4 linked regions of the Rhinolophus ferrumequinum genome follow. The protein of the gene in region 1 interacts with the protein of each later gene in a pairwise test. Links are inferred from orthologs where the notes say so. Each region holds a gene or a part of one and is shown in the gene's direction. Other genes may lie near its edges.

Evidence for each region.
Region 2: the proteins of TNFAIP3 (region 1) and ARRDC3 interact in binary tests that used the Homo sapiens proteins (3 or more experiments, as listed by UniProt). The two-hybrid records come from large-scale screens. The link is inferred for Rhinolophus ferrumequinum from reciprocal best matches to the Homo sapiens genes TNFAIP3 and ARRDC3.
Region 3: the proteins of TNFAIP3 (region 1) and TAX1BP1 interact in binary tests that used the Homo sapiens proteins (3 or more experiments, as listed by UniProt). The link is inferred for Rhinolophus ferrumequinum from reciprocal best matches to the Homo sapiens genes TNFAIP3 and TAX1BP1.
Region 4: the proteins of TNFAIP3 (region 1) and YWHAH interact in a two-hybrid assay, tested with the Homo sapiens proteins (2 studies listed by BioGRID). The link is inferred for Rhinolophus ferrumequinum from reciprocal best matches to the Homo sapiens genes TNFAIP3 and YWHAH.

Annotation. Positions count from the first base shown.
Region 1 is NC_046286.1:83,811,064-83,818,525, forward strand, and holds the start of TNFAIP3 (tumor necrosis factor alpha-induced protein 3), read left to right. Parts: upstream 1-4,450; 5' UTR 4,451-4,589; exon of another isoform or gene 4,590-4,629; intron 4,630-7,462. UniProt on the Homo sapiens protein: Ubiquitin-editing enzyme that contains both ubiquitin ligase and deubiquitinase activities.
Region 2 is NC_046290.1:59,999,128-60,006,828, reverse strand, and holds the start of ARRDC3 (arrestin domain-containing protein 3), read left to right. Parts: upstream 1-4,682; 5' UTR 4,683-4,911; coding exon 4,912-5,191; intron 5,192-7,701. UniProt on the Homo sapiens protein: Adapter protein that plays a role in regulating cell-surface expression of adrenergic receptors and probably also other G protein-coupled receptors.
Region 3 is NC_046303.1:14,033,502-14,040,364, reverse strand, and holds the start of TAX1BP1 (tax1-binding protein 1), read left to right. Parts: upstream 1-3,849; 5' UTR 3,850-3,976; intron 3,977-6,863.
Region 4 is NC_046308.1:20,743,612-20,751,064, forward strand, and holds the start of YWHAH (14-3-3 protein eta), read left to right. Parts: upstream 1-4,441; 5' UTR 4,442-4,631; coding exon 4,632-4,718; intron 4,719-7,453. UniProt on the Homo sapiens protein: Adapter protein implicated in the regulation of a large spectrum of both general and specialized signaling pathways. Binds to a large number of partners, usually by recognition of a phosphoserine or phosphothreonine motif.

The DNA of each region.
Region 1 (7,462 bases):
ATTTGTATACTTATTCTCCTGTTAATCTGCCTGATGTGAGTCTATTTCGTAGACCTAGCTATTGAATCTAGGAGGGTAGAGGGAAAGTCTTTCCTCCCCTACACAGTGAAGAAAGAGGAATGTAATTACGTACATCAAAAAATGTAGGCGATTGACAGTGAGTCAAAGAAGGAGCGTGTGGTACATATAATATAATGAGGTTGTTTTCTCCACCTGCCACATTGTTATTAAATCCATGCTATGTCTCATAACCATGTATTCTCAGAATCGTGGAACTATAGCAGCTTATTCTCCAGCCTACTAATGTTTGTGCTTGGAATTTCTACCTTTAAACTCTAGGAAGATCTGGTTTCAATAGAAATGTTTCTCAAGAAATGTTAACACAATAATACATTGCAGTCTGTTTTTGAAAATGAATATAAATTTCCTTATTAGATTAGCCAGTCCCAGAAAACAGGCTTCTGAGAGAATGAAAGCTGAAATCCTTTTTTTGTGGAGATGGGAGGAAAAGAGGGCGAAGAGGCAGGATTATGGGCACCCCAAACTGGACTGAGAGAATTGAAGGACAAATGAAGAGACAGGGAGTGTGCATCAAAGGCAAATTTTCACAATGGCCTGCAATATTCCAGCTAGCAGGAACTAATTTATTCCTGTGAACACCCAGTTTACTGTTAAACCCAGCACTGCACACCAGTTGGTTCCTAATAACACCCATTTCAGATCTTTCATCATTGCTCATGTTTGGTCATTAATAGCAGTCTCCACAGAAAGAGAAATGAAACCAAGAATTGAATATTTATATTCATGACGTAAAATAAAATTACTTTGCCAAGTGTTTCAGCCAAGTGTTGACAGAAAATTAAGCCAGAATTCTTGGGGGCATGAATTTTCTGACAAGTTTTAGATTTCAGCATCCCGTGCTTTCAGGCCAAGTGGGATAATAGGAGCTGTACTTGGTGTTAAACCCACTTCCTCCCTTCCACTGGAGGGTCTTTGTTCCTGTTACTAGAGACTCATTGGCTTACTTCAGTTCAGTCATTTCCCCAAGCTGGGTCTTGGTTTCTCCATTCATCCCAGGTAATACCTGTAAATAATCTGAGGTCCCTAGATAAGTAGCATTTTAGGAGACTTTGGCATTCCTATGATGATAAAATCAACGACAATATTATCCAAGTTCTCCTCGTAGTTACAGCCCACAAAGAGCTTCTACTGTCTTCTCAGAGCTAACTCTTATAGCAGCCTTCAAAGTGCAAACATTACTCTTTAGTAATATCAAAGCTCAGCCAAAGGTCATTCAAATTTGAAGCAGGATCTTAAGGACCATGTAATAACTAAACTGTCACACTTACATAAGGGCTGTTTCAAAATATGCTTAACAAGGATCTTCCTTTTCACCAGAGCACAATGCTGGGAAAGGGGAACAATTGTACCATGGACACAAAATGTTCGATTTTATTTTGACCTACGACCGCCATGCCCTGAAAGTCCATACACTCTCAGAAATACCTATGGCTATTTCTTGATTTCAAGGCTCATGAACTGTGGTTTGAGCTGAGCTAGATTTGGATCACCTTTCTAATGGCCATATCTGTCTCTTTTCAACCCGATTTCTCCTGCCTCCCACTTTCTTGGGGTGCCCATTTTCTTCATTACGTGGTACAAGCATACAGGCTCAGGCACAGGCCCACAGACTAATTCTAAGAGGTCACGTATGCTCACTGTATGCAGTTCACGATGTGCGAATGCTGTCACCATGGTGAAAATGGCACACATCTCAGGAAAGCTCCAAAATACTCCACACACACAACCTGATTTCCTCTTCCCTCTAATGAGACACTTTTTTTTTTTCTCCCATGTGTCTGCTAGGTGTTAATGAATATTCCTTCCTCTTTGCAGAGTTCTGTTCATTTTGATAAGATCTATTACAGAAAGTAAATTCCCTTACAGGCTTTTGGGTACTCTGTATCTCTTTGGCTTCAATTGAATCGGCAAATCTCCCCACATTTTGTATCTCCTTTCTCTTAAGGAGTCTCTTCTACACTCTCCTCTTCCACTCTTTCCTTCTGATTCACCACTAAGAAAATTCTTATTGGTCTTGCCCATGTGTTAAGTACCAGAAAGGGAAAAGTGTAGGGCCTGAGTCCTGATTTAGAAGGTGGAAAGGACAGTAAAAACTAGAGAAGAACAGAACGAAGTATGCCTCCTCAGAGAGACCATCACTCCAATAGTAGAATTACGGGAAATTGGGGTAGAGCAAAATTGAGGGCTCTAGACTACTCCTGCACCTCACTGCTATTACTTTGTCATGAATCCTGATAGGCAAGGTGGCGTAGCATCTACCTCAGGACAATAGAGAGCGGCAGATATGGGCCTGGTCTTTCAGGCTCGTCACTCTGGCTATTGCATTCCTAGCTCATCAAGTCAGGGAGCAGACGGCAACCAGAAAAAGGAGGCTACAGGAGGAGGTGAGCGACCAGAGCCAAGAGATGAAAGACAGCACAAGAGGAGAGCAGTCTGAGGATTAAGGATGACCTCATCTCTTAGCACCTTAAGGAGCCCGGCAAAGTTTCCTGAGGAAGGAATCAAGGCCTGTCTGGCTTCCAAACCCACATTCTGCTGCTGCCCAGGGTCCACGTTTGGCTAAGTGACAAGTGACCCTTGTGTTGTGAGGTTGGTGGCCAGGATAAAAATGGGGGCCCTGAGACTCAACCTCGAAGGATCCTTTCTGAGAGTAATGCTTTAATAGTTAAGACTTAACAGTATGGACTTGGGAGTAAGACAGGCCCAGTGCCAGTTGCGGCTCTGCCACTTACTGATTGTGTAGACTTTGGGCAAATGGCTCAAGCTTCTTTAACGTCAATTTCTAAAGCTGCAAAGTGGAGTTGTTGTGAGGTGTAAATGGCAGAATGTCTTTCAAACGCCTCGTCTAAAGATTGACATATAGTAAGGACCTGACAAACATGATGATGATGATGATACTACCAGCTTGACAATCCATTGTTTTGAGTGTTGGCAGCTAAAAACATTTGTGAACCACGAAGAGAGCAAATACCAGAAGATTTGGATTCGAAATACATTCCAGCCCTCAGTTTCACGTGACCAGCACCAGCTTTGACCATTACCGAGGCTCTGCTCTAAGTCTCCCTTTGCCAAAACATTTGCTCCACCCAGCCCCATTCCCAGTCTCTGCAGGTCCTTACTGGAGAAAGGAGCAGGTTTTTCGAATTCGAATAGTAGGAAACGCGCCTGTCCAGTATGCTGAAGTCTATAAGGGGACAACCGTACAGAATATTTCAATCTAGTTCTAGTCTAGCCATTCTGGGAAATGGGCCAACAGGGTGGTAAAAGGGCCTCATATCCCTCCCTCACGCACTTCCACTGCCCAGGTGGCTCACACCTGTTTCCACGGACACGCTCTGGATTCAGACAATGGGTTATCACACTATTTAATAAGGGAGGGGAGGGGGAGTAATTACACCCCCCCCCCGCGCCTTGGAGGTGATTATCAGGACATCTAAAAAGACTCCTACTACGGTTTTAGGGGGACATGGCAGGGACAGTAATGGACTAGAAGTGAAAAGCTACCTGAATGTGATGCCACCTGGACACCTGGTGTGTAGCAATGGACAAGGTTAAATCAATCAAGTGCGGGATGGGGTTGGCTGGTAGTTGTTCAGATTCCTAATTTTATCCAAAACCTGCCTGGTTCCTGCGAATTTTAAGGCTGCAGGGCCAGGAGGTCTGTCACCTCAGACTTGCATCCCATCAGCCTGGGGTCCCTGGCTGACAGGGACGCAGGTGGGTAAGGGAGCAAGACCGTGACTGCTCCTTTTTCTCGAAATCCCCGCGGGGGCCTAGAGTCTCGCGCTCCCCTACGAATTCATCACGTGCACAGCCCAAGCTGTTCAAACCGGCCGGAGGCCTGAGGTCCCGGACACCGGGGTGGTTTTTAGGGTTTTCTTTTTTTATTTTTCCCTTGTTCTCCACAATTGCTTTTCTGAAGAACGACTACTGAGAAAAAACCTCCTTCGTTTACAGTTCCCATAATCGCGATTTCCACATGGATGTGACGTTGGGTTCAGCTTCCGAAATGCCCAGGTGACTCACGCGGGGACACCCCGGGGCGGGGCGCAGGAGTTTCTCCGGCGGCAGGCGGGGCGGGGCGGGGCGGGGCGGCGCGGCGCGGGATGCACGGCGCCGCTCTGCGGCCGGATCGGGGCGCCGCTGCGAGCCGGCCCGCGACACTGCAGGTCACGTGACCCGCCGAGTGGAAAGTCCCTGGGTTTCGGAAATCCCCGGCTGGCCTGGCCGCGGCGGTAAAACAGAAAGGGAAAAAAGAGAACTGGCAGTCTACAGCCTGCGCGGCGGGCCGAGTGCTGAGTGCTCAGAGCCCGCGGGGGCGGAGCGGCGAGAGAGGCCGCGGGAGACCTGCGGCGGCGGCGGCGGCGGCGGCAGCGGGCGCGCTCCACACCCCCGGCCGGCCCAGCCAGCCAGCGAGTCCGGAGCCCGGGCGTCCATGGGGCGCCGCTTCCACCCGGCTCCCACCTCGACCACAACCGCTGCCTGCGGCGTTCGCCTGTGCTGACCTGGTACTTGGGACTTCGAGAGAGGATCGGGCGGCCGGGAGAGGTAACCGCTGCATCCCGGTGCAGACGGTCCGGGGCTCCTCGGGGCACGGGCAACGGATGCGCTTTTGGCGGTGATTTGCGGGCTGGACCCGCCGACTTGGCATTGGTTTTGCAGCGGTCCTGGAGGGCAGTTTGTTGGCCGTGTATGCTCATTGTGTAGGTTTTGAAATGCTGGGACTTGAGGTTGCCGCGCCAGATGTTCAGGTGACAGCCCTGGATTCCTCCAGCCAGCTATTCCTTTCAGATTATGCAGAGAACTTACACTGCAGCTGACTGGTGGAGAGTCGCCCCCGCGGCCGCTCAGTCGGGTGCTCGTTGGTGTTCTGCTCCTTTTCGTGTCTTTTTTGGAACCAAGAGCTGCAAGCTCATAGCCACGTAGACCTTGCAGAATGCTGTGGTTTCTTCCCAGATTGTGCACGACCAGTGCAACGGCGGTGTGTCTCGGGCAACAAATCCCGGCGGGGTTGGGGGCTCAGTCAGCTAACCTTTCCAGGGACAGCTTGCAGACACTGCAAAGAGTCCTGTGCAGGGGTTGGCTGGGGAGTCAGGGCAGGAGGTTCGTAGTTTTCAGTTGCAGCAGTGTAACAGAAGTGTGCACGTAGAAGTGAGTCGTTGGCCTGCCTTTTGGGGGCTCCAGTGTAGAGCGGTCTGCACGCCCCTGCCCCAGCCCCTACCTCACAGGCAGACAGTCTTTGTCAGCCCGGGTCGTCCCACATCCTGCCACCTGGCCTCTCAGGAAAGCAGTGGTATTAAGTAAGGAAGGAGCTCAGCTCTCTTGGAGACGGCTTTGTTTTCAGTTCTCCGTGCCTCTGATCTTTCCCTGGAAAGCCGGTCTGGTCAAGTGTCTCAAGGCAGCCTTTTGGGAGAACCCTTGTTATTAAAGAGTCTTCTGGACCACAGCCCTCATGGCCCAGGTTATGAGCATCCAGTCTCGGCTCCATTCTCATTGTCGAAGGTGCTTCTTTCATTCTTGCAATTCTCTGTACAATTTTTGAACATTTTCCAAAAATTCCGTGAGGTATTTGTTGATAAAAAGTTAGTGAGGTAACAGAAACTTAAAAGTGAAGGGCTGTCTTGTATGCCGTTGCCTATAAGGACATCGCAATCACAGGTCAGTCAAATTTATTCTTGAATCTTAAGTGTGGAGAAATCTAAGTCAGCGGTACTTCGGACAGTGGGTTTTGATTTCTTTTAAGGAGGCAATTCTGCGGGCAGTGCGAGGCTAAACCTGTGAATGAGATGACACCGGGCTATTGAATATTGACCATCTCATGTCTTGCATATGGTTTACAGCTCTCACTATTTGAAAGAACTTTAGGTGCAGAAGAAAATAATAGAAGAGTCAGAAAAGCAAAACTCCTGCACCTAGCTTGTTTAAAATCTTCCTATTGCCTGTCCTTTTCCATCTGGAAAAGCAGGCATTGCAACCACAGGTATGGTGCTGTGAGAATAGCAAGGGGCAGGTGTTGGAAGTCCTGGCTTCAAGGCAAAGCTCTGCTGGAGAGTGTGGGACCGGAGCATGACCTGTACTTCTGTAACCTGAGCTGCAGACTAAGATGCTTGGCTGACTTCAAGTTGGGGAGTAAGGAAGGTTGTCTTGGATTTTTAGCCCCCGAGTCAAGCACAACCTTCAATAGATGGCCAGACAGTGCTTGTTAAGTGACGGATGGACACATGGATGACATCATAAGAGAGACTTTTGCTATGCCACAAAGGGGAAGTATGTGTGATATTTTTGTCCCTTCATTGTGTTTGTGGTCCTGCTATAATTTGGCCTAATTCTACCTGCAGGCAATGGTTGACATCAAAGGAGAGATTAATATCTTACCCAGAGCATGACTTCTCCAGACCTGCTCTGGCAATCAGATTAGGGATCCTGACCCAAAGCTACTACCAGAAAATTCCTCAGGAACATTCTTGGGGTCATCTAGTCCAGTCCAGCTCTCGCCGTTGAGTGGGCCACAAGAATCCAGATCACCTTATCAATGGTTTTAAGAGAACCTAGACCCACTCAGGAGTGGCTTCCTTAATATCTAGGTTTCTTCTCTCATTTATATTGGTTTAACTTCTTTTTCAACTAGAGGCTTGGCCCTGGCAAATAGCATGATGCAGGAAACTTCTAGGGAGTATCTTCATGCTCTGAAACCATCTTTATCTTGGAAATTAGGATGTCTGGCGAGGCACCCTGCTAATGGCCAGTGGATGAGAGAGCTGGCTCTCCACACAGCTCCCCACTGCAAGGAGCCCACGTTACGTCCGTTCACATCATTCCACACTGTTGGCAAGGGTTGTGGATGCTGGTTTTGTCCCCCTCCTCTTTTATGTGTCCCTTGCTGAAATTTCTTTCCTCTTTTGTTTCCAGACTTTCATTTCCTTCCACCAGTTGATTATGTTTGAAGATTTCAGGGTGAAGACAGGGTGGGAAATATATCTGAGTATTGGTACCAAGCATGATGAAATTTGGTTGGCAGTTGCGTTGAAGTAATTGAGCTCCAATGTCTGCTCTTGGAAGTGTAGTAATTGTTCTATTACTGTTATTATTCTATTTCTTATTCTGATGTTGTAAAATTCAGTGGAGAGGTTCGAAAACTGCTGATTGTTTGCTCTTAAAATTGCAAAGCATCTTGCTGGAAATAGGCTTTTGCGTTGGTTATAAAACATTCAGTTATAACTTTATAAATAATATGATACATTTTATAAATAAACGCTTTATAAATATTTCTCTTTGGGGCTAACGAGGAAACTCGAATCAAATGCCTGTGGGACAGCATAAAATTGCAGGATTTTTCACAAAATATTTACTGTCTTTCCAGTACAGGGTTATTCCCCTCCTC
Region 2 (7,701 bases), on another chromosome or scaffold:
CCAAATGTGAATTTACTAGGTCATAGATTAAAAATGTGAATTTAAGGTTTAGCTTTCACCTAACCCATTTCTTGACCCCAAAACAAAAGTTCATTTGAAACCTTAGATTTCTGGAGGCAGAGAGTGCTCAGCAAACTTTTACATTTAAATTGTCCCTCCTCCTTATAACTTTTCCACAACAAACAGTTCCTTCATCATAACTACTTCTTCAGTGTGGTAGCAAATAAAATCCCCAACAATAGGAAATACAGGAACATGTAAACTGAGCTGATCATATATGGGTGAGAAGCAATAATTCTCTCTCACAATTTTTAAGTTATGGTAACATAAGGATAATAATTAACAACAGTAAATAAAACTAACCTTAGGAGGCAGATCCTTGAAAAATGCTTCCATTAAACAGCATTGAGAAGGCAGTAGCTGTAAATAACAAGTTTAGGTCTTAAAATCATTTATAATAAATTTCTCTTCAACAACAGAAAAAATGTAGATGATTGGAAGAACAACATTCTCCAAGCAAGATATGAAATATGAAACTCCATTTAGCCAAATATGAATTTGATATAAAAAACTGAGAACTGGTTCCTTTCAATTATACTTTGCCACTAGAACTCAATATCATCAGGAAAATATTAGTTATTATACTTATAATGTTTTTACCCTCGTTACATAAAATTACATGAAATTGGGCTACGTCAAGTCATAAAAATAGTTCAGAAAAGAAATTTAGCATTTCTGATTCTTTTTGCAGGCCCGATATGACTTGAGCCTGGATAAATAAACTGCCAATTCATCTAATTTAGCAGGCCCTGTGGGTTACAAATCCATTCAAGAGACTGTCCCTTAGAGGCACTAATCAGATATATTGTCAAAGAAGTCTACACGATTAAGAAGCATTGCCATAGTTTAACTGACAAGGCTCTTCCTAGTTGTACTTCTAGATGGAAATGTACCAAAAAGTTAATAGTGGGGTATATCTCTGGGTGGATAGAATTATGAATAATTTTATTCTAAATCAAGAAACCAAACATAAAAGATTAAAGACATTCACATTTCACACTATTTCTTAATGAGCAAGAAGAGAAACCAAATTTGGTATTGAATTTTCTCACAAAAATCCAGAATACATTTTAATGTCTATTAAGTATGAAGAATGCAATGAACGTACCATATAATTAACTATCAAATATAAAAAACAAATCTTACTCATTTTGCTAACACTATAGCAAATCTTACCTCGTCTCCACACCAAAGTCAAATTCGTTGCATTTTGAAGAAGTTAAATTCTTAAGTCAATTACAAAATCTTGAAATACAGAATACCGAAAAATAAACAAACCAGAGAAACTTCCGTAACTTCTATGGTACTCAAGGTGTTAGTTAAAATAAGAAGTAAGCACGGATTTCACATTTTTTTTGAAACAGGTTATGACTGCTAATATGGTTTTTCTTATAACCACATATCAAAACTTTCAGTTGACATGGCTGCCTTTTTTTATATAACAATATTGAATATTTTGATATATTAATAAGTAATGAACTAACTCCAGATGTGGCAATAATTTTGACATATTACTGCCTCAATATTATACACCTTGAGATTGAGTTCTTGAGATTGAGTTTGAACCTTTATACAGTAAGGTGGAACAGCACTGAATTAAAAATCCAAGGAAAAAAAGTATTATAAAGAAGAAGAGTCCTATTTATTTAAGCTCCAAAGAAGCTATAGAAAGGGGAGGAGGCGCTAGTTTTTCTGTCTAGTTGATTTTATTCAGTGTGCCAACTGAATCTGGTAAAGGGGTTAGAAGAAGGGAAAGAAGATAATACAGCAGTGGGGTGTTGTTCTGAGCACAGAAAGCAGAATGTAACTGCACATTGGCAAGAGAGAAAAAAGTTACCAAAGACAAGCTAACATCTCCTGTCAAGAAGATGTACTTAACAGTAGTATAGAGAGTTAGCAGATGAGTAGGAAGTGGCATTTGAGATGTAGGCTGAGATGCGGTAGGAAAGAGCCTTGGTGGTAAACATGAATAGCTTAAATATAATGCAAAATACAGTAAGGGCCCTGTGAAGCAAGTCCAGAAGCCCAAGATAATGAATGGCTACAGTACAGCTTTTCAAACTAACAGGTTGATATTTAGATAAGGAGTCTTTAAAGGGGAGGTTATAAAAATCACAAGAGAAAACATTCAAAATTTAGTTGCTTTTTTCTTCTTTTAGAAATAAAAACATAAGATAGATTTAGAGACACCAGAGTTGTTTGTTGTTTGTTTCTGGTGTTTTCATAATTTGAATAAATAGGAGGAGGAAAACAAAATGAAGCAAACTCAAGGTTAGGCACTTAAGAAATAGTCGTGTGACCAAATCCAAAGAGAAGAAAGATGACAATTAAGGTAGGTGAGTAGGATCTTAAAAATGATATGGGATAAGAAATTCTTGGCAACTTGTCAGTTTTAAAGTGTTTAGAAAGACACAGTAAAAAGAAAATAAGGAGAAATAGAAAAATAAATCATAAAGACAATGATTTATTATATCTTAAAAGTTTCAGAAAGAATAATGTAATATAGTGATAGGAATGAATCATTTAATGTGCTAAAACGATTTTCCAAACTACAAGTAAATCTCTTAGAATTATTTGTGGTTAAATGCAAGTCTAGTTTATTTAAACAGCTGATTCTTGTTTCTTCAGAAATAAGTTACATTTCAACTGGAGAAATTTTACTAAACATTCTGAAGAATTCAGCTATTCATCACTAACCCTTAATAATTAAAACAAATTTAATAATGAAAGTTTATTGTGTACTGCACTTTTAAATTTATTCCTTGCCCAGTGTTACTTGAATGTTTAATAACTTGTATTAGATCTTAAGGCTGAAAAGCTGACATCTTAGCAAATTCACTACTTTTACCACTAGGTGGCGAAAAAAAACAAGTAGTATCTGTTATCAAAGCTAGTACAAGGTCCCAAGTACTTGAACAACTAGAATTTCCACCAGGTGTCAACCAAGAGGGAAAAAAGGAGACTATTTCCCCCACTGAAATACACAAATTAAGTTCTAAGCCTAACCATCTCAACTCTATCAGAGATAAACGGCCTGACATTAACTGTACAAATAGTTTACATATTTATATCCCCATAGAAGGTTGTTGAGTCCAATATATTGTCAACTAAACTCCAACTAAATAAAATTTTGTTTCCTCCAAATAAGTAAGAAAACAGCAAGCTCAATGAATTTAGTTTATTGTGAATCATAGGGTCAAGTTATCCAAATATATGCACAAGAGTGCAAAACGTTTTAGACATGAACAGCCCAAACTCTTCCAAAGTATATTTGGTTATGTATAGATAGCTCCAGATTCATATATTATTTTTGTTTCTCTTACAGGCAGCTGATTGTAAAGAATCTAGGTAAATTTATGTTGTTATGCTTTTAATCCCAGTGTCATTTTATAAAAAGCATTGCCATTTGTTACCAAAATAGTCACAATAAAGAGACAAATGTTATCTGTCTTTAAGATGTACCGAGTATTACGTTGAGAAAGTCCAAGGCTGAAAATTAAAGCTTTACAGAATTAAGTCCTACTTATATTGCAAATCGTTTTTTAAATACCATCTTATGTGCTTCACTAATTTCTAACAAAGATTTGCCGATCTTGTTGTAAACATTATGTCTGCTAAAACACTATGTCATACTACCTTTTATAAGGTGGTACTTTTTTAAGGCCGAACTCTATTCTTAATCCTCGGGACACAGGAGTTATAATCATGTCATACCCTGCAACTCCAGCTGTAGGTGGTGTCTTAAAAAAACTTTTTCTTCCTTCGAGGAAGTGGTCAAGCCCTTCTTCACCCTGGTGTCATCATGCAAACAACTTGGTTGTTTTTCACTGCTATCTAATTAAGAGATGGAAGAGAAAGAAGTTGAGGAAAAAGCAAAAACCTACTGATTAAATTATACTTGCTTCTCTTCCTTGCTCCTTACAGTATTCTCTTTTAAGGTTCCTTTGGCCTCGACTGAGTTCATTTCCACCCTGCCTACAAAGCAGTGGCTTTTCAAAAAAAGAAAATCTAAGCCAAGAATGCTCTTGTCTAAGAATATTATTCCTTGTCTGGTTTTATTACGTTTTCTTTTGAAATTCGTTAGATTATACTCTGCAACCAGCCGCTTGCCCAACCGGTTTCTCCCCTTCCCCCATCGCTCTTCAATCATCACTTTTTCCTACTCCCAGCCAGGCGGTAGTCAAAACCCTGCCGTGCCTGTAACGCATGCTTGGGGCTGGTCACTCAGCAGTTCATCCTTACTTGGCTTTACCAACAACTCCCCACCCAACCCTTCTTCCCTAGTGACCCCCTCTGCCATTATCTTTAAATAGAGTGTGCTCAGTAACAGGCTCCAGATAGCACTTCGAGGGTTTACGGTAGCCTGCCTGCCTGCCTGCCTACCAATAGGAGCCCACAATGAAGGGAAGTCAGGTTCAGCCTCCCAGCAGCCCCAATGTCTTCTTCCCCAAGCTGTACACCTACTGTATGAGCAGTCGAGCAAGCGAACGAACAAGCGAACTAGCGAGCGAGGCGCGGGAGGGGGCGCACCAGAAGGGCGGGCAACAGCCGCGGCGTGCGCATGCGCACCGGGGTTGTTTTTCACAAAGCTGCTCTTAAAGTGAGCTGGCAGCCTCCAGCCGCCCGTCTTTGTAAGGAGACCACTGAGACTAGCAGAAGCGCGGAGCAGCAGCTTCTAGCTGCCCTGACTTTTTAAGAAATCTCAATGAACTATTTGTAAGGAATCACTGATCTTGCCTGCAAGCTTTTTGCACGGCAAAGACATCGATCAGTGTTAAGTGAAGATCACATTTTATATGTGATCTTGACTTTTTTGTCTTACATTATATTTTTATAGATTTTGTTATAAACATGGTGCTGGGAAAGGTGAAGAGTTTGACAATAAGCTTTGACTGTCTTAATGACAGCAATGTCCCTGTGTATTCTAGTGGGGATACAGTCTCAGGAAGGGTGAATTTAGAAGTTACTGGGGAAATCAGAGTAAAATCGCTTAAAATTCATGCAAGAGGACATGCGAAAGTACGCTGGACCGAATCTAGAAACGCCGGCTCCAACACTGCCTATACACAGAATTACACTGAAGAAGTAGAATATTTCAACCATAAAGACATCTTAATTGGACACGAAAGAGGTAAGTTTTTATATTACTCAAATCATTAAACCTGTTTTCTTTGGGAAAGTACCTTTTCAATTTTTCTGAATTAATATAATTTTACTCCTAGCATAACACACAGCAGTTTGATAAAGATTAGCAAAGTTGGAAGATTTGGATTCTCCTTGACATTCATCGTGTGTTAAGTCGTAATGCATGCAGGCATCTGCAAAGTGACTGCAAACTGCACTTATTCAACTACCTCTATACCCAGCTTGGTGTGTGCCATACGCATTTGCAATCCATGTGCACCTTACACATTCTGCTTAAATCCAATTCAATAATTTTACTAATATATTTTCAACTGAATTGCTAAAAGCTGCATGCAGTCCAATATGAGATTTTGTCCTTGTACTCTGCAACCTTAGATCTTAACAACTAAGCTTCAATGAAGAAATGGAATAACATTTTTAAGTGGGTTAATAGGTGGATTTCATTTTTAATATTGACACGCACAAGACTTCAAAGAATTGATCATTGTTCTTTGATAAAGGGTTTCTGTGGCTTATTTTGACATATGGTATCAACACCCCACGTGTTTTTTCCCCCTATTCTTTCCAGTTCCTTTAGAAATTATATCAGACATTCTCTATTTTAAAGGACAGTATTTGTCGTTATGATAGGTTTTAAATCAGTTTTAGAAGCCATTTAGGATCAGTAATTTTTTTTTTCCGAGCATCATGCCTAACTTTGGAACGTGCATTCAATGAAACCCCTGCAAGTCAAATGAAATTGAAAAGTATTCGGCACATTGGATTTGATTTTTGATTAGAAAAGGGAGATAAAGGGTTGTCAAAGGGAGAAAAGGTCCTGAGGTTTCCAATCGATTGTTTAAATCGTTACATTGTGGAAATATAGGAGACTCTAAGCTTGTTTTTCTAAGTTTCCACCCTTTGTTAGAAGCGGTTCAATCCTGTTTCGGACCAGTTCTGGGGGGTGGTGAGGAGGGGCGCTTATTCAGCTCTCAGCAGATTGGTTACACGCGTCAGGTGGTGGCGATGACTTAATTCCTAGACCAAGAAGAATATAATGTTAAAACTGGTTATGTAATTTTGTACTTCTCCTTTTTAATGCAGTATTTAGTTCAAATGTTGACTATTTTTGAAAGAGTAGAGCACATTTTTACCTTTATTTGTAATATTAAAAAACATGCCGGAGGAAATGCTAATTAAACTAAGCCAAGTGTAGATATGAAGGATGCTTTCAGTTACAGCATTAATGTACTATTTTTAAAAATATTAAGATGAAATCAATTCTTTAGTTAGGTATGCAGTTACACATAGGTAATTTGCATCCTGAAATAATTTCTAGTTAATGTTTCCAAGCAGTAATGCTGGTAAGAAATGCATGCCTAATGACAGTCCTGGTATATGCAGAAAAGCAAATACATGAGTTTGTGTTTGAACCTTTCTGGACATTGCAGCTTTCTATAAAATGGTTGAGAACAAACAAAGGTTTTTTTAAGGAGTTGAGGCTTGCAATGGGGTAAAAGTAGAATAACGATTTATGGGGGGAAAAAACAGTTTCATGAGTTACTCCATGGTTTTATTACGTGGGATTATGTGCCCCGTACCCCCACTAGATGCCCCACAATTCCTGAAAACGTGGACGAGCTCCTAGCCTGGAATAGTTTCAATGACTTAAAATTGGGACCTCTCAAACTAGCCTGGTAACTGAGACCCCGCCCCAGGTGACCGGCGATAGGCGGAGCCGGGTTTGTTAGCCTGTTGCTAAGGCGATGCCAGGCTCTGATTGGATTGGGCGCCGGCGGGTGGGGAGAGCGCAGGCCGGGGCGAGGCTTGGAACCGGCGTGCGCCGGTAAAGGTCCCTCCAGAGCGGTCGACCCCGCCCTACTGGCATGCCACGGCTTCTGGAGGTGTCCAGGGCCCCTGTCACACACATCACGTTCTGTCGCCCCCTCACCTCGACTTGTTTGGCCCCCGAAAAAAACGACTTCGGGTGTCAACGGAGTAGAGGGGAGAAACTCCTGCTGGCCTTACAGGTGCCGAATGGCCCTGGGCGCAACTTCAGCTGACAGTCCTATTCTGAGGGAACTTGCATGTGCCTGGTTCGCAGGACCCCATTTTAGTATTTTTCGGATAGAAAGTGTCAGGTGGCTTCTGTTAACGCTTGTTTTCCTCTTAGCTGAAACAAAGCGTGTTTCGCGACCAATGTAGTCACCAGACCGGCTACCTTAATTTGGTCTGAGGGGAGAAAGCAAAGGCTGGCGGGGAGGAGGAGGAAAAGTGGTAGTAACATGGAAAGCAGGGTAGGAACCTGGACTAGTATTCCTTGCCCCCTCATTGTTTGCCGGAACCTTTCCTCCCCTCCCCCAATCCCTCACCGCCCCAGTTTCCTTCACCGCAACTGTAAAGGTGTCAGGGTGGCCCGAGCCAGATCGAACCGGTCACCAGCTGAGGCGTATAAAGCGGAAGCGCCGCGGCACGGTCGCCCCGCCCTCCGTTCAGCAAGCTAGGCTGCGCGAGCGC
Region 3 (6,863 bases), on another chromosome or scaffold:
TGGGTTGGAGACACAGGAACCAGGAGCAACACAATTCTCAACCCTCACTGTGCTGCTTGCAGACTCAGCCACCATCTTCTTGCTAGCTCCCCCTTTTTTTGCTAGCGTAACCACAGCAGTTATATTCATGGCTAATGGCTCACTGGTTACAGCTGACGGCCAACTAGCCACAGCTGATGGCCATTTGATCACAGTCGATGGCCATTTACTACCTGAGCCAGCACCTTTCTATGTGAGGCCGAGAGCCTGGAAACTGCTTTTTGGGGCTCTGTCCCCACAAGTATGTTAAACCATCTTCCAACATACGGTAAGAGAAAACAAACAACCTTATTTTAGAGTGTTTTGCATCCTCTATCCAAAACCTACCATTATTCAGATCCCATCTTTAAAAGCTCTCTTTTTTAAACAATTGTGTACAGCTGTATTATTTTTAAAAGAAATAATCATTTCTAGCAAAGGGACTCTTTAACATAAACTCTAAGGAAAACCAATGTTCCAAAAGATGAGAACAGTCTGTTTTGCCTGCTTTCAACACGTGTAATATTTCTATAACATGCCTCTTTGAACTTACTGTTTTCTAATTTTCACCCCATGTTGTACCACCTGATTGTCTCATTTGTGCTCTTTTAATTTTTCTCTCTACATAAGCCCTTTCTTTACATTTTCAGATCCTTTAAATCTTTCAAATTTAGAGTCCAGTTTCTTTAACAAAGTTACACTAATTCCAAAATTATTATTTGTCAGTCTTTCTTTCTATTTCTAAGTCCATTTCCTACAAACTTAACACTTCACTTACCATCTTATAATAACTAGATTTAAAGCAGCTTCAGAAAAGAAACCATGGTTTATTCTGTTTTCCCTAGAGACCTAGGATAACCCAGAGCACACAGTAAGTGCCGGAAGAGCCCTTATCAAGAAGCAGCATGACATGGTGGAAAATGCGTAAACTGTGGGAGTCATAGATGTGAGTTCAGGTCTGGTTTGCCCTTTTTGTGACCGTGGTGTTAAAAAGAAAAACCACAGGCCCAAAACGGCATCACTGATGCTAAAAGCCCATGATACCAAACCTAGAGTTAACACCTATGTAATGTAATTGTAGTTTCAGTCACTCCCAGGAGTAGAGTTTTAAACCAATCATTCTGAAATTGCCTGATCCACACTAGTGAGGTAATCTGTCTGATAAGACCTCTGGTCTTCCCCTAAGGGAATGTGTCCTTACCTGAAATAACCCACTCTTACCTCCTTAGTCCCACCATATTTCTGCCTATAAAAACCTTCCATTTGTATAACCCCTCGGAGCGCCCTTCTTGCTAACTGAAATGCTGCCCAATTCATAAGTCACTTAATAACGCCAATTAGATCTCCTAATTTACTCAGCTCAATTTTGTTTTTTAACGAATGAGCAAGTTATTTAGCTTTTCTGAACCCACAGTCCCCTGCAAAATGGGGATAATACCTCACAGTATCTAGCAGAATGCCCAGAAAACACTGTGTACTCCACAAAGGGGAATTATTATTTTTTTGACAGTTTTCTCCCTACTTGACCCCTTTGCCCAAGCTTTTACACCCTGACTCGAACTCTTCCATCTCTTCATTAAAACCCTACTAACTTTAAGAGTCTAGGTGTACCTCCTCCAAGAAAAGTAGACTGCTCACACAAGCCTGTACTGAGTCCTCCCATCTCTGAAAATCTTATTTTATACTTTATTTTTATACTATATTTTATACTTTAGTTATTTATATTTTCATGGATTCATTGATTTCCTTCCCTTTGCTATCATAAGTTCTTCTAATAGAGGAACAGTCTTTTAGACGTTTTCCTAATCAAAATACAGGGTAAGTGGTCCGTGATAGGTTAGGACAACTTCCTAGAAACTCCTTGGAATTGTAATTACTCCAGAAATATCATAGGATGCTGAGAGATTTACCTTCTAATAATTCTTTGAACTGGTCTGTGATCGCTTATTCACAATTTTGAAATCCAAAAAGCTTTGAAAATCAAAATTGTTTTAACATTTGGTGGCAAAGCCTATCCTGACCTGAACTCATTTGTCAGTAAAACGTGACCTGAACTCATGGTGGCCAAGTAGCAAAACTTGATCTGAAATGAAGCAAGAATATGTGTTTTATTACTCCTACTGAGTAGTGTGATATTCATATTTTTTTCATGAAAAAAAATGTTAACTTGATTAGGGAGTGCTGCCTCAAACCACATAGGATGTCATGTAACCAAGTATACTTTTCTAAAGTCTGAAAAATTCAGAATCCTCAAATCCATCTGGCCCCAAAGTTTCCTATAAGGAATTATGGATCCATATGTTATATAGCCTTAGTATGCCGCTATACATATAATAGGCTAATTTAAAAAAAATTCAATTAAATACCAAAACGATATATATTTATGTTGCTAGGAGAAACATTAAAAATTCAAGGGATTATGATTCATAGGATTAAAGCAAGTTCAAGTTCAAGTTCCTAAATAAGTAACTTCATGAGGGAAAAGAAGGTCTAAAAATTCAAGAAATTATTAAAAATAACAAAATAAAAATACTTGCGTAAAAAATGTTTTCCCATTATCACGTTTTTATCAAGCATAGTTTTTCTGATTTCATTAACTGAAAATTGTAATTAGAAATTTATTACATGTAAATAAGTAATGTGATTAAAAAATAGTGACATCTCTTAAAATTGTGTTTATAAAGTACACTGCTATATTTATATTTAAATGACAGATATTTCCACTACTAGGAGGTTGCTACCAGTAACACCAATTATTGATGCTATCACAGTTTTCTTCATCTGTAACATAAGGAAGTTGGGACTAAATGACCTAAATTTCAGATTCTTCTGAAATTCTATAATCAAGTAGGATATACAGAACAGGACCAAGTTCAAAGATTTCAATATATAGGAAATAAATCAGTCAGCATGTATTGAGGATCTGTGTTATTGAAAGTATTGTAATCTTAATTGTGTATAAGTGAAGTTGAAATTATATGAAAGAGGATTTTGTAGTTCTGTATTTACACAGTGCTTACCGTTTAATGGGATCTAAGTATCCTTTCTTCACTGGTGATACTGCAAATTTTAGCAGGGTTTTATGGCAACCCAGGAATATGACTAGAACAGAACACTCTTGCTTCTGTGGAGTTGGGATTGAAACTGAATGCTTAATACAGGAAGTAAGATATAATAGTCAAAAGTAATTTTAGAAATTATAATTGAACAGAGAAAACAGGACAAAATTCACACAAAATAACACAGATAACAAAAGCAGTTAACAACTCATAGAAATAAGGGCAGAAAGAGGCCAATGCTGGAGCAAGAGGAAATAGGATCATAGCGCATTAGAACTGACAAACTCCTAGGTTACCCAGATTTTACAGCGAACAAAACCTTGTAAACAAGAACAGGACAGGACCAGGACTTGGGGAGAGAGCCTCGGGCGTAGGGTTTGCAGCCCTGGCCGTGTGGTCGCTCCTTCAATTCTACGGTTCTCGGTAACATGAAAAGATTCGCTTAAGATCCACGCAATGACATGCTAATAGTCCATGTACCTCTCGGCTACCCTTTCCACTTAACTGGAAAGTTACTTAATAATTAAAAAGTCAAAAATGCAAATCCAAACTGACCCTGTGCAACCAGGTCTCTGAGCGAAAACGACAAGGCCGAAGAAAGACCCAGCTGGCTGGGTCGAGGGAAAAAGCCGGCTCGGACCCGTTAGGGTAAACCTGGTGGCCGGGGGCCACAGAAGGGGGGGCGGCGGCCTTAGCCGGGAGGCGGTGTTTCAGTGCCTGCGGAAGGGGCGGCCCCGTGGGCGGAAGTGACGTGTGCCGGCTTTTGGGCCTAAGGGGGCGGGCCGTATAGCCGGTCGCTGGAGGGAGGCACCGGTGGCGGAAAAGGTTCGGCTGCTGATGGCGGCTTAGGCTCGGAAACCTCTCTAAGGCTCCCCCTCTGACCGGGAGCTCCTCACTGGGTAAGTGCTTTCCCCGGCCCAGTGCCGTGTGCCGGGCGGACCGCGGCTGGAGCTCTTTCGGAGCTCGTGAGACGCCCCCCAGCCCCTAGAGTCCAGGGGCCTTGCCGGTCTCGGGAACGGTCTCCGTGGTGACGATGCAGCCGAATGACGACGCTTTCGCTGCGGAGGACAAGCCTTTCCTCCCGGACCGTGATTGTGACGGGGATGTGGGCAACTTCGGTTCGCAGTGGAGTTGGAAAAAGCCACGGGTGGCCGCTCCACACGGCGGGGAGGCCCCGGGGTAGGCCTTCGCGATTTGGGGGAGGCGTGTGGGACGTGGGCTCTTTGGCGGGGGGCGAGTGACGCGGGGGACCCTCCAAAGAAGAAACGGTCTCGCCCGAGGCTCAACTCTGGGGTGAGTGTCTCGAGGGTAGAGGGGGCTGCCGGCGTCGTAAGCTTGGGTAGACATCTAGGTCGAGCCCAAAAAGGACGCTCGGGCTTGCGTATGCGGAGTGAAACCCAAGTGTTTTGGTTTGAGTCGCCCGTGGAGAAGGAGGCGGAGACTCGCTGCGCCACCTACATGTTGGCGGGCCGCGGGCGGAGTTAGCTGTTCTGGCCTGGTCTCCTATCTCACCTGGGACGCGGACTGACTTTCCGCTTTTCTTGGTCTGTTTATGCACGACTGCTACGCCGAGTTCCCAGGGATCTTAACAGATCTTACCCGGCGAGTCACTTCTTTGCTTAGGCAACTTTTCTGGATTTCACAACTCTTCCCTCCCCCCAACCCGACACCCTGCAGGTCCGCCGTGTGTGGACAAGTCCCGACGTGGCGTTCCTCGCTTCAGAGGATCTTGGTTAAAGAGTGTGTGTGTGTGTGTATGTATGTATGTATGTATGTGTGTATATATGTATTGATAAACGTTAATTTATTGGTAATAGTTTTTTTTGAAAACACTGGCGTTTGACTTTCTCCATTAGGTTTTAGGTTTCACTAGTAGTTGTTATTAATTACCATTATGTCAGGGATATAGATGGAAAAATAAGTCTTAATATTTCAACTCTCTGCATTCCGCTAATTGCAAAATGTCTACACACCGTGCACGAACAATAACTAATGATCATTTTGGGGCTCAATTACAAAATTACTTAAAGATTATTTGACTAAGCTGTTACTCTAAAAGTGGGCTAATTGCCCTCAAAGTGCTAGTATAGAAGGGCCGAAGCCTGGCTTTCCTTCTGTTCTCGGCGAGGATAGACTTGATTTGTCTTAGGATTACTTGCTCACGTTAGACATGACTTCTTTCAGCTTCAGAAAACATCGTATTGTAGTTTTTGTTTTCTAGTTATCACATTCTTAAATTGCACACCTCTGTTTACAATCATGCTGCAGCCATTTGTTGTAGAATTAACTAGTAAATACCTCTTTCCTTAACAAAATAGCAGGTATTTTGGAATTCTAAGTTTCAGCCTTTTAAATGGTGCTAAATATTTTTGAAAGATCCTCAGGAAGCTTTTCTATACTTTTATGGGGGAATTATCTTATGTGAAGTTTATTGGATTGTATTTTTTTGGAATTTGGATACTTCTAAGTAACATTTTGGCCGTATGCAGTTCTGGCTTCTTAAAATTTATTTTATTCCTTGCAAACCCTCCTATGGGCCAAGATCATAGCTTTTTAGGAACCAACTTTTAAAACAATCTAAAAAGTAAAAAGTGGTATTAGTGACACTTGGGCAGAGTGTAGTGCTACTCAACTGTAAAGAGTTCTGGAGATAGATTTCTGTAAGAGTGCAAATAACAGTTAGGTGGCTTTGCTTCTGCCTAGCAGAAAGATTGCTAATAGCATTTTTCTGGTCTATAAACCAGCTGATAGTCTTTGTTTGAGTTAAAGTATGAGTGATTGGAAACTAGAACGTCAGAATAGTTTTCCCTTCAGATATTTGTGTGTCCTATAGGACTGGTTTGGAGATAATTATAAAAGTTCATATATTTTTGAAGATTTAAAAAACTTCTGATAAGTTTGTCAACCATTACTTGTAATGTGTTTTTATTACTAATCTTCATTTGCTCTGGTTTTACTAACTTTTATTATGGAAATTTTCAAACATACACAAGAGGAGAACAAACAGTAAAAGGAACCACTGTTTTTGCCACTTGTTTTATTATCCCCTCTAACATTTATTTTTTTCCTCGAGTTTTTAACTAGATAATCAGGATATTTCACTCATAATTAGTTTAGCATGTTGATTGATAAGGACTTTGGAAAAAACACAATCACCACAATTATATTATCACACAGAACAAAATTACTTCTTGAATTCTAATTGTTAGAACTGGCAAATTATATAAAACATTTATTTAAATTAAAAAGCTTAATTTGATTTTGTATGTTTAATGCATAGAAGTTTTTAGTATGGTCTGTTTTTTTACTTTAGTTGACTAAGGCTTACATTTTTGGGCTATTCAGGTAAAAATATCAGGAGCTACTGAAAAAATACTATCACAAAAGCCAGATCTGTTTTGGGCTTGAAAAAGTTTTAAAAAAGTAAAGATAATATTGAAATGCCTTTTTCCCATCCAGATTTTTTTAGCTAGTTAACTGAGTGCCCACTGCATACTATTTATCTTTAAATATCGATGAATCCCCAAATAACAAAATTGGATTTTAGATCAAAGACTTTATAGTATAAGGTTTACACAACCTAACATGTATAAAGCAACTCGAGACATGTTAGAACTTCAGGGAATATATTAGGAAACATGGAAGAGGGCACTGCAGGCAGCATGTATATGCATTTCGGGCTTTGTTTCCCAGCCTAATGTGTCTGGTCCTTTTAATTCTTGACCGGAAAATTTTTATTTAGCCTCGGCTTACATCTTAATGTACCCATGTTTCTGGAGATGTACT
Region 4 (7,453 bases), on another chromosome or scaffold:
TGGTAACTGGCAGAGCAGGATTCGAACCCAAGTCCAGATCCTTCCCCCTCATCACACCACACACATGTCCTCAGGTAGCCAGGGGAGTTTGCTCTATTCCCCGAGTGAGACCTGAGGACACAACCGACCTGGCCCTGGCGCTGGGGGCCTGCTCTGAGCTTTGGGGCCACAGAGCATGTTTCACCTTAACCATTAGCCCCCTTCACCTGGCTCAGGGGTTCTCCTTGGAGTTGTTCAAAGACCATGTCTCTTGGGGGGACTTAGAAGCCTGGGGGTAGGTGACCTGTCCAAGGTGGTTGTCCTGGTATTTATTTAAGAAGCTTTGGAGAGTTGGCAGCTCTCTCCCAAGAGTGAAGATGGGTGCTGCTAGAAGTGTGTCGGCTACAAGAGGGGAGGCTTGTGTGTGCTTTTCACAGTGTGAATGACCACCACCCCCAAGAAGAGTCACCCCTTGACCCCTTCTCAGTTAACACCACAGGGCAGCATGGGGCCATCAGGCTTGGGAGTCTGACAGACCCGAGATGAAATCCTGGCTCTACTGATGACCAGCTGCGTGACTTTATTCAAGTCATGGAACATTTTCAAGCCCGTTTCATCTGTGAAATGGGAATGGAAACGGTACCTACTCTATGAGGGTATCTTGAGGGAAAAAACACCTCATTTCTGCAAATCTTCTTGCTCAGTGCTGGGAATGTGGTAGATGTTCCTTTCGTCTAAGAGTGGGTGTGGATGAGGTCACCCAGAGTGAGAAGAGGGCCCGCGGCAGAGCCCTGAGGAACCCCAGCATTTCAGGGTAGGCTGAGAAGACAAGCCCACATAGGAGACCGAAGAAGAGTGGCCAGAGCAGCAGAGGGAAGCCAGTAGAGTGCAGGGTCATTAAACTAAGAGAGCCAGGAAGGTGAGGACTATGAATGACCTTGGATTTGACAACAGGAGGCCACTGGTGGCCACAGTGAGGGCCCTCCAAGTGGAGGAGTTGGGGCAGAGCCAGAGTACACTGGGCTGAAGGGTGGTGGGAGGTGAGGAAGTGGAGACAGTGAAGCGTGGTGAGAAGGAAAGAAAGGAAATCAATTAGAATTGAATTTAATTAGAATGTTCCAGTCGACCTAATTTTTACTGTTTTGACATCAACCTTAGTCCAACATTATCAGAAAAGCTGGAAGGGCTCTAACCCCTCTAAGAGTTAACCCCCAGCACCGGCCTTCTTCCCACCTCTCGCTGGAACCCTATCCTCATGGAGGGCAGGGTTGGTGGGGAACAGTTATTATCTGTCAGACTCTTTAAAAATATTCACTAGGGGAAACATCAGCCTGGTTTGTAAACCTTGATTCCATTTGTAGTTAGCAAAGATGACTTTTTTTTTAATTAAAGTTTATTGGGGTGACAATTGTTAGTGAAGTTACATAGATTTCAGGTGTACAATTCTGTAATACATCATCTATAAATCACATTGTGTGTTCACTACCCGGAGTCAGTTCTCCTTCCAGCACCATATATTAGACTCTGTTTACCCTCCGCTAGAATCCCCTTCCCCCATTACCCGCTGGTAACCACTAAACTATTGTCTATGTCTATGAGTTTTTGTTCCTCCATTTGTTTGTCTTGTTCTTTTGTTGTTTTCAGTTTTATACACCACATATCAGTGAAATTATATGGTTCTCTACTTTTTCTGTCTGACTTATTTCGCTTAGCATTATAATCTCAAGATCCATCCATCTTGTCACAAATGTTCCTATATCATCTTTTTTTACCACTGAATAGCATTCCATTGTGTATATATACCACAACTTCTTTATCCACTTATCTATCAAAGGACATTTTGGTTGTTTCCATGTCTTGGCCACCGTAAATAAAGCTGCAATGAACATTGGAGCACACATGTCTTTATGGATAAAAGTTTTCAGATTTTTTTGGAAGATACCCAGGAGAGGGATTGCTGGGTCAAATGGTAATTCTATTTGTAATTTTTTGAGGAAACTCGACACTGTCTTCCACAGCGGCTGCACAAATTTGCATTCCCACCAACAGTGTATGAGGGTTCCTTTTTCTCCACAGCCTCTCCAACACTTGTTACTATTTGTCTTGTTGATGACAGCCATTCTGACTGGGGTGAGGTGATATCTCATTGTGGTTTTTATTTGCATTTCTCTGCTGATTAGTGATGTTGAGCATTTTTTCATATGTCTACTTGCCATTTGTATGTCCTCTGGAGAAATGTCCCTTCAGTTCCTCTGCCCATTTTTCAATTGGGTTGTATTTTTTTATTGTTGAGTTGTATGAGTTCCTTGTATATTTTGGATATTAGCCCCTTATCGGAGATGCTGTTTGCAAAAATCTCCCATTCAGTTGGTTGCCTCTTTATTTTTTGATGGTTTCTTTTGCTGTGCAGAAGCTTTTAAGTTTGACATAGTCCCATTCATTTATTTTAGCTTTTACTTCCCTTGCCTTTGGAGTTAAATTCATAAAATGCTCTTTGAACCCACGGTCCATAAGATTAGTACCTATGTTTTCTTCTATGCTGTTTATTGTTTCAGGTGCAAAGGTGACTCTTCAAAGCATAGTGAAACCTGGGGTGGAGGCCTCCCCCCAGACCTAGCTCAAATCCTGTTTCATGGGTCCTCATTTTAGCATCACAGTGGGAAGAAAAATGCCGGGCCGGCAGGAGACGTGGTTTGGATGCCTCTGCTCTGCTCACTCGCTGTGCAAACTGGGGCCAGCCTCTCCTCCCGCTTAGATCTGTTTCCCCTTATGCAGGATAATGAGTTGGACAGCGGTTACTTCTAAGGGTCCTGCCGGTTTTTACATTCCAGGATTTCTATTCTACAGTGCTTTAACAGTCCTTCAAGTCCAATTTCCAGATGGTAAAACTAAGGTCCAGAAAAATTCCACTCTCCAGTTTCTCCCTTCTCCTTTCTAATGCATCTTACTCACCAGAGCAAGATTCCTGAAATAATGGCTTCCACACCTCTGGTGGTTCCCCATTACCTAAGGACAATGCCTCAGCTCTTCAGTCTGTCATTTAAAACACTCCATAATCTTGTTTGACCCAACCTCATTTCCCACTGCCGGGCCTCTCTTACCATTTGGTTTCTATCCTCACTGACAAGCCTTTGCCCATACTGAACCCCAATCCCTAGTACCTTTTCCCTGACTGTCATCTCCCTCAAGGTCCAGCTTACCTGCTCTTGTGTATTTAGATCTCAGCTTCTGAGGCAGTGGGAGTGGCTGGCGGGGCACCGGGGATCAGTGGGAGTGGGAGGGGGAAAGGGTTGTGTCTTACTTATTCTGTACCTACTCCTACCCGCAGTGCTGAGCATGCAGTAGGCACTCAACAAAATTCTCAGAGAGCCTAAGGCCCCTTGTCCCGTGCTGCCCCTGACTTGCTGAATTTAAGTCAGAGCCTGTTTTAGCCACTAGGATTTTCCTAGCTTGTCCCTGCCCCAACCCAGGGCTTGGCACAAAATACCCTCAACATCGAATGCCAGGACTGGGATGGGCTTAGTGACCAGCCAGGCGGTCCATCCCCCTTTCTGCCACAGCAAGTCTATCCTGGGTTTGAACTCAAATCCTGGCCCCACCACTTACAGGCTGTGTAACCTTGAGCAAGTCACTAACCTGGCTTTGAAAAATGGGGAGACCAGCTGTGCCCACCTGCGGGGTGGGTTGTGAGGATTAAATAGTATTATACCTGTAAAGGCATAGCACTGGGCCGGCTCCTAGTAGGTGTGCCTGAGTTACTCGTCCCAGCAGGGCCACCCAGTCCTTCCTCTCAGGGAAAGCACAGTATGCCCAACGGCCACTTATCAGGATGGGGCAGGAGCGAATGTGTGTGTATGGGGGGCGGGGGGTGGGGAGGTCTGTCCTCAAAGTCCCGGACCCGATCTTGCCCGGGCCGGTGCACACCCAAGTGCAGGGCGTGGCCCAGCGGAGCCCATCCGAGGGGGGAGCGGGGCTCGGGGCGGGCGAGACCGCAGGGCGGGTTCAACCCGCCCCTCTGGGCACGCAGCCTCCCGGATTCTCCAAGCACTAGGTTTATTTGCTTTTTGGGCCCTTCTCAAGCCAGACCTCTAACCCGGATTCAGAGGCGCTTTTCAGGGTGGGGCTGTGCCAATGCGCCGCCTGCGCAGCCGCCATCACCGCGCCCCCTCCTCTGGCCCGCAGTACCCACCCCACGCTTCTCTCTCCCACCTCCACCTATGCGGCGGTAAAATGCAGCACCCGCAGGGCGCCTGCGCGGCTCTGGGGCGGGGCGGCGGCGACAGCTATTTATAGTAGGTGACGTCACCTTGAAATAGACCGTTAGGGCCGACCCGCCCTCCCCCCTCCCACTCCCGCCGCTCCCGGCTGCCCGGCCGAGCCCCTCGCACTGCGCAGGCGTCCTCCAGTCCGCCCATCCCCCACGCGCGCCCGCCTCTCCTCCTTTCGCGGCGTCCGCGGCGGCAGCCACAGCGCACGCGGCGAGCCAGAGAGAGGGCGCGAGCGGCTGCGCTGCCTGCTGCCTGAGCCTACGGCCGGCCGGCGAGCCAGTGCGCGTGCGCGGCGGCGGCCTCCGCGGCGACCGGGGCGCGGACGGGAGGGCGGGCGGGCGAGCGAACGAGCAGGGCGCGAGGCGAGGCCGAGCCACGAGCGACATGGGGGACCGGGAGCAGCTGCTGCAGCGGGCGCGGCTGGCCGAGCAGGCGGAGCGCTACGACGACATGGCCTCCGCCATGAAGGCGGTGAGCGCGCCGGGAGCGCGGGCAGCCGGCCGGGGGCCCGGCGTAGGGGAGGGATGGGAAGCCGGGCGTCGTCTCCCTCCAGGCCCGGGGCGACCCCGCGAGCCCGCTGGGCGCGGCCGCCAGGCTGCAGCCCGCACTTCCCGCGCCCGCTGGGCGTCCGGCCATTTCCTGCAGCCTGGCACGGCCGGGGTCTCTGGGGAGGGAGCCGCTCAGGGTCGCGCGTGCGGCCCCGCGGGGACTGGCGGGTGGGGGTCGCCACATGCTAGCTCCGAGCCCTGCGTGCGGCGGATGGGGTGCCCGAGGAAACGTGAAGCAGCCGCATTCTTCCTCCTAGAGCGTTCTTCCAGTCTTGGGGGCTTCTCGCCTTCCTCCACATCCCAACTTGTATTAAAGAATCACCTAATGAGTGGCGCCCTGTCTCCTGGTTTTCGTTGCCACGACCTGAAGTCTGTAATTCCAGTCTGTTTTACCGTGCTCGCCCGAATCGTGCTCGTCCCATTTTACTATGCCCGGGGGTCAGGCTTTGTGTGCGAAGACCCCCATCCTGCAGTCTAGGCGTGGATTCGGGTGGGAGGGCGGCGGGCGTGGGGCCCCACTCCCAGGTTTGATGCTGTGCCCATCTGCCTGGTGATTAAAAATGAGACGTGACTTTTAAGCGAGAAGAGCCAGTGTGCCTTTGCATTCCCGAGACCCTCACACATCGGTTCTGCAGTTTGATTCTCGGCGAAGGAGTCGGTGGCCAGCCACACCCTAACAAATTCCTTGGATTAGATACCACCTGCATTTCTAAGACTTACAGTTCCGGTTATTCTCTCACTTTCCCTGTCTCTTAACCTTATTTTACGTTTTCTCTAAATGAACATTACTTATTTCTGCGTCAAGGTCACACAGTGGTAGAACTACAACTGCCGCCACCACCGTGCTATGTTCATCCCGTGTACAACCTTCTGAGACTTGGGAGGATGATGGGCCTGGGCCCCACCTTAGACATAAAGATTCTGAAACTCTGGGGGTGGGATTCCGAAATCTGCACTTTAACTAGCTCTCGTGGCAAATTTTAGCGGGAAGTTCGAGAGCTACTTGCCTGGTTTATAGCTCATTTGCCCTTTCGCTGGCTTTGTGAGGGAATTTCTTAGAGAAAAACCTGCAAATCCAGAGGCACCATAAAAATGTCAGAATCATTTGAAAAGCTCCTATTAAGGCTTTTTACATTAATATGTGAAGTATGTTGATGTCAGTATTTAGGATTATCCAGGTAAGAAACATGCTTGAAGAGTTGTGTTTCCTGTGGTGTCCTTGTTACACTTGAACTAGGTGTGTTCTGAAACCACCACCACCGGGGCCCATTTGTTGATTCAGTGGTGACATGACATGATGTCATAGATTATATAGGAGCTTTTCATCTGAACCAGGGACAATCTGGGTTTGGGGCTGAAGTCTTTGTAATTCTGGGGACCTTATATAAGAAAAAAAATGTAAAATATATTAATTTTGGAAATTTTACAGAAACAGGACTGAATGTGTGAATTTGTTTCTTTGGAAAGGTCCCAGAGCTTTAATTTCTTTGAGATAAAGCCGCTAATGTCCACATAGCAAGTCATACCTAAGTGAGCCTCTTCTCCCCAGTGACCTGTACTGGGATTATGCAGCCAGAGACCTTTCTGGACCTTTTTAGAAAGGCCCTTGCTCACCCTGTGAGCATTAGGAACCTTTTGGGAAATAAGGCATGGGGCTTGACAGAAGGTCAATGGAGGTTAAGGAAAAATGACTAGTAGGTATGTTCTGGAGCTTAGAGGCTCTCAAGCTATTCTGAGGCAACTTGAAATGGAAGGTAAGGGAAGAATGGAGAGATGTAACCAGAACAGAATCTAGTTTGGAAAGAGAAAAAATTGGCTTTCTGGTCTTCGTAAGCAGGCTTGAAAAATGCTTTCCTACAGCTTCCTACCTGGCTCCACAGTTTTTCTCTGAGACGTTTAAGGTGACATTTTGCAAACTAATGGACCCCTCCATGTGTTGCAAATCTGTGATACCTGTATCTGAAATGATTGATGGGTTGGATAAGCCATCCAGCATTGAAAATTCAATCCAAGCTCTAATGTCATCTCAGAATTGTGATAAACCATTTTATGAAGGTAATTCCTATCAAATAACTTTCAATATATCTGTTCTATTAATTTTTTTGTCATTTAAATTAATGGAATATATTTATTGGAAAGGACGTGGCAAAGGTCAATGGGAAAGTTTATTTTTTTTTTAACCCATTAAGTTGATGTTTGTATGTTAAACTCTGAATGCTGTTGAAAAGACTCAGTCTCCATTTTATTAATATCACAGGCCTTAAGAAGAGCTTTTGGAAAGGGTCTGTCTGAATTCTAGTAACCCAGTGGGTTTATGTGGGTTTTCTTCAGGGCAGGTAAGTAGACTGCTCTCGGGAGGACAGAACAGTGCACCTGAGTGAGGGGACGTTCTGATGCCACCTCTTTGACCTTGAAATTTACCTCTTGGCTTTGGGTCCTATGAAGTGTAAAACTAGTAATGTTGGTGTTAACTATAAGTTTTCAGTCTTCATTCTTCTAACCTGTTTTCCTTTTCCCTTATAATGTAAATGGTCACCTAATATTGCCTGCCTGTAATGACTGATGTTTCTTATGCTACCAGCGTCACCTGGAGGATGGTGTCGGTAAGCTTTAAGAAAAATCTTGCGTATTACAAACGGGTGTTGCCTTCCATCAGTT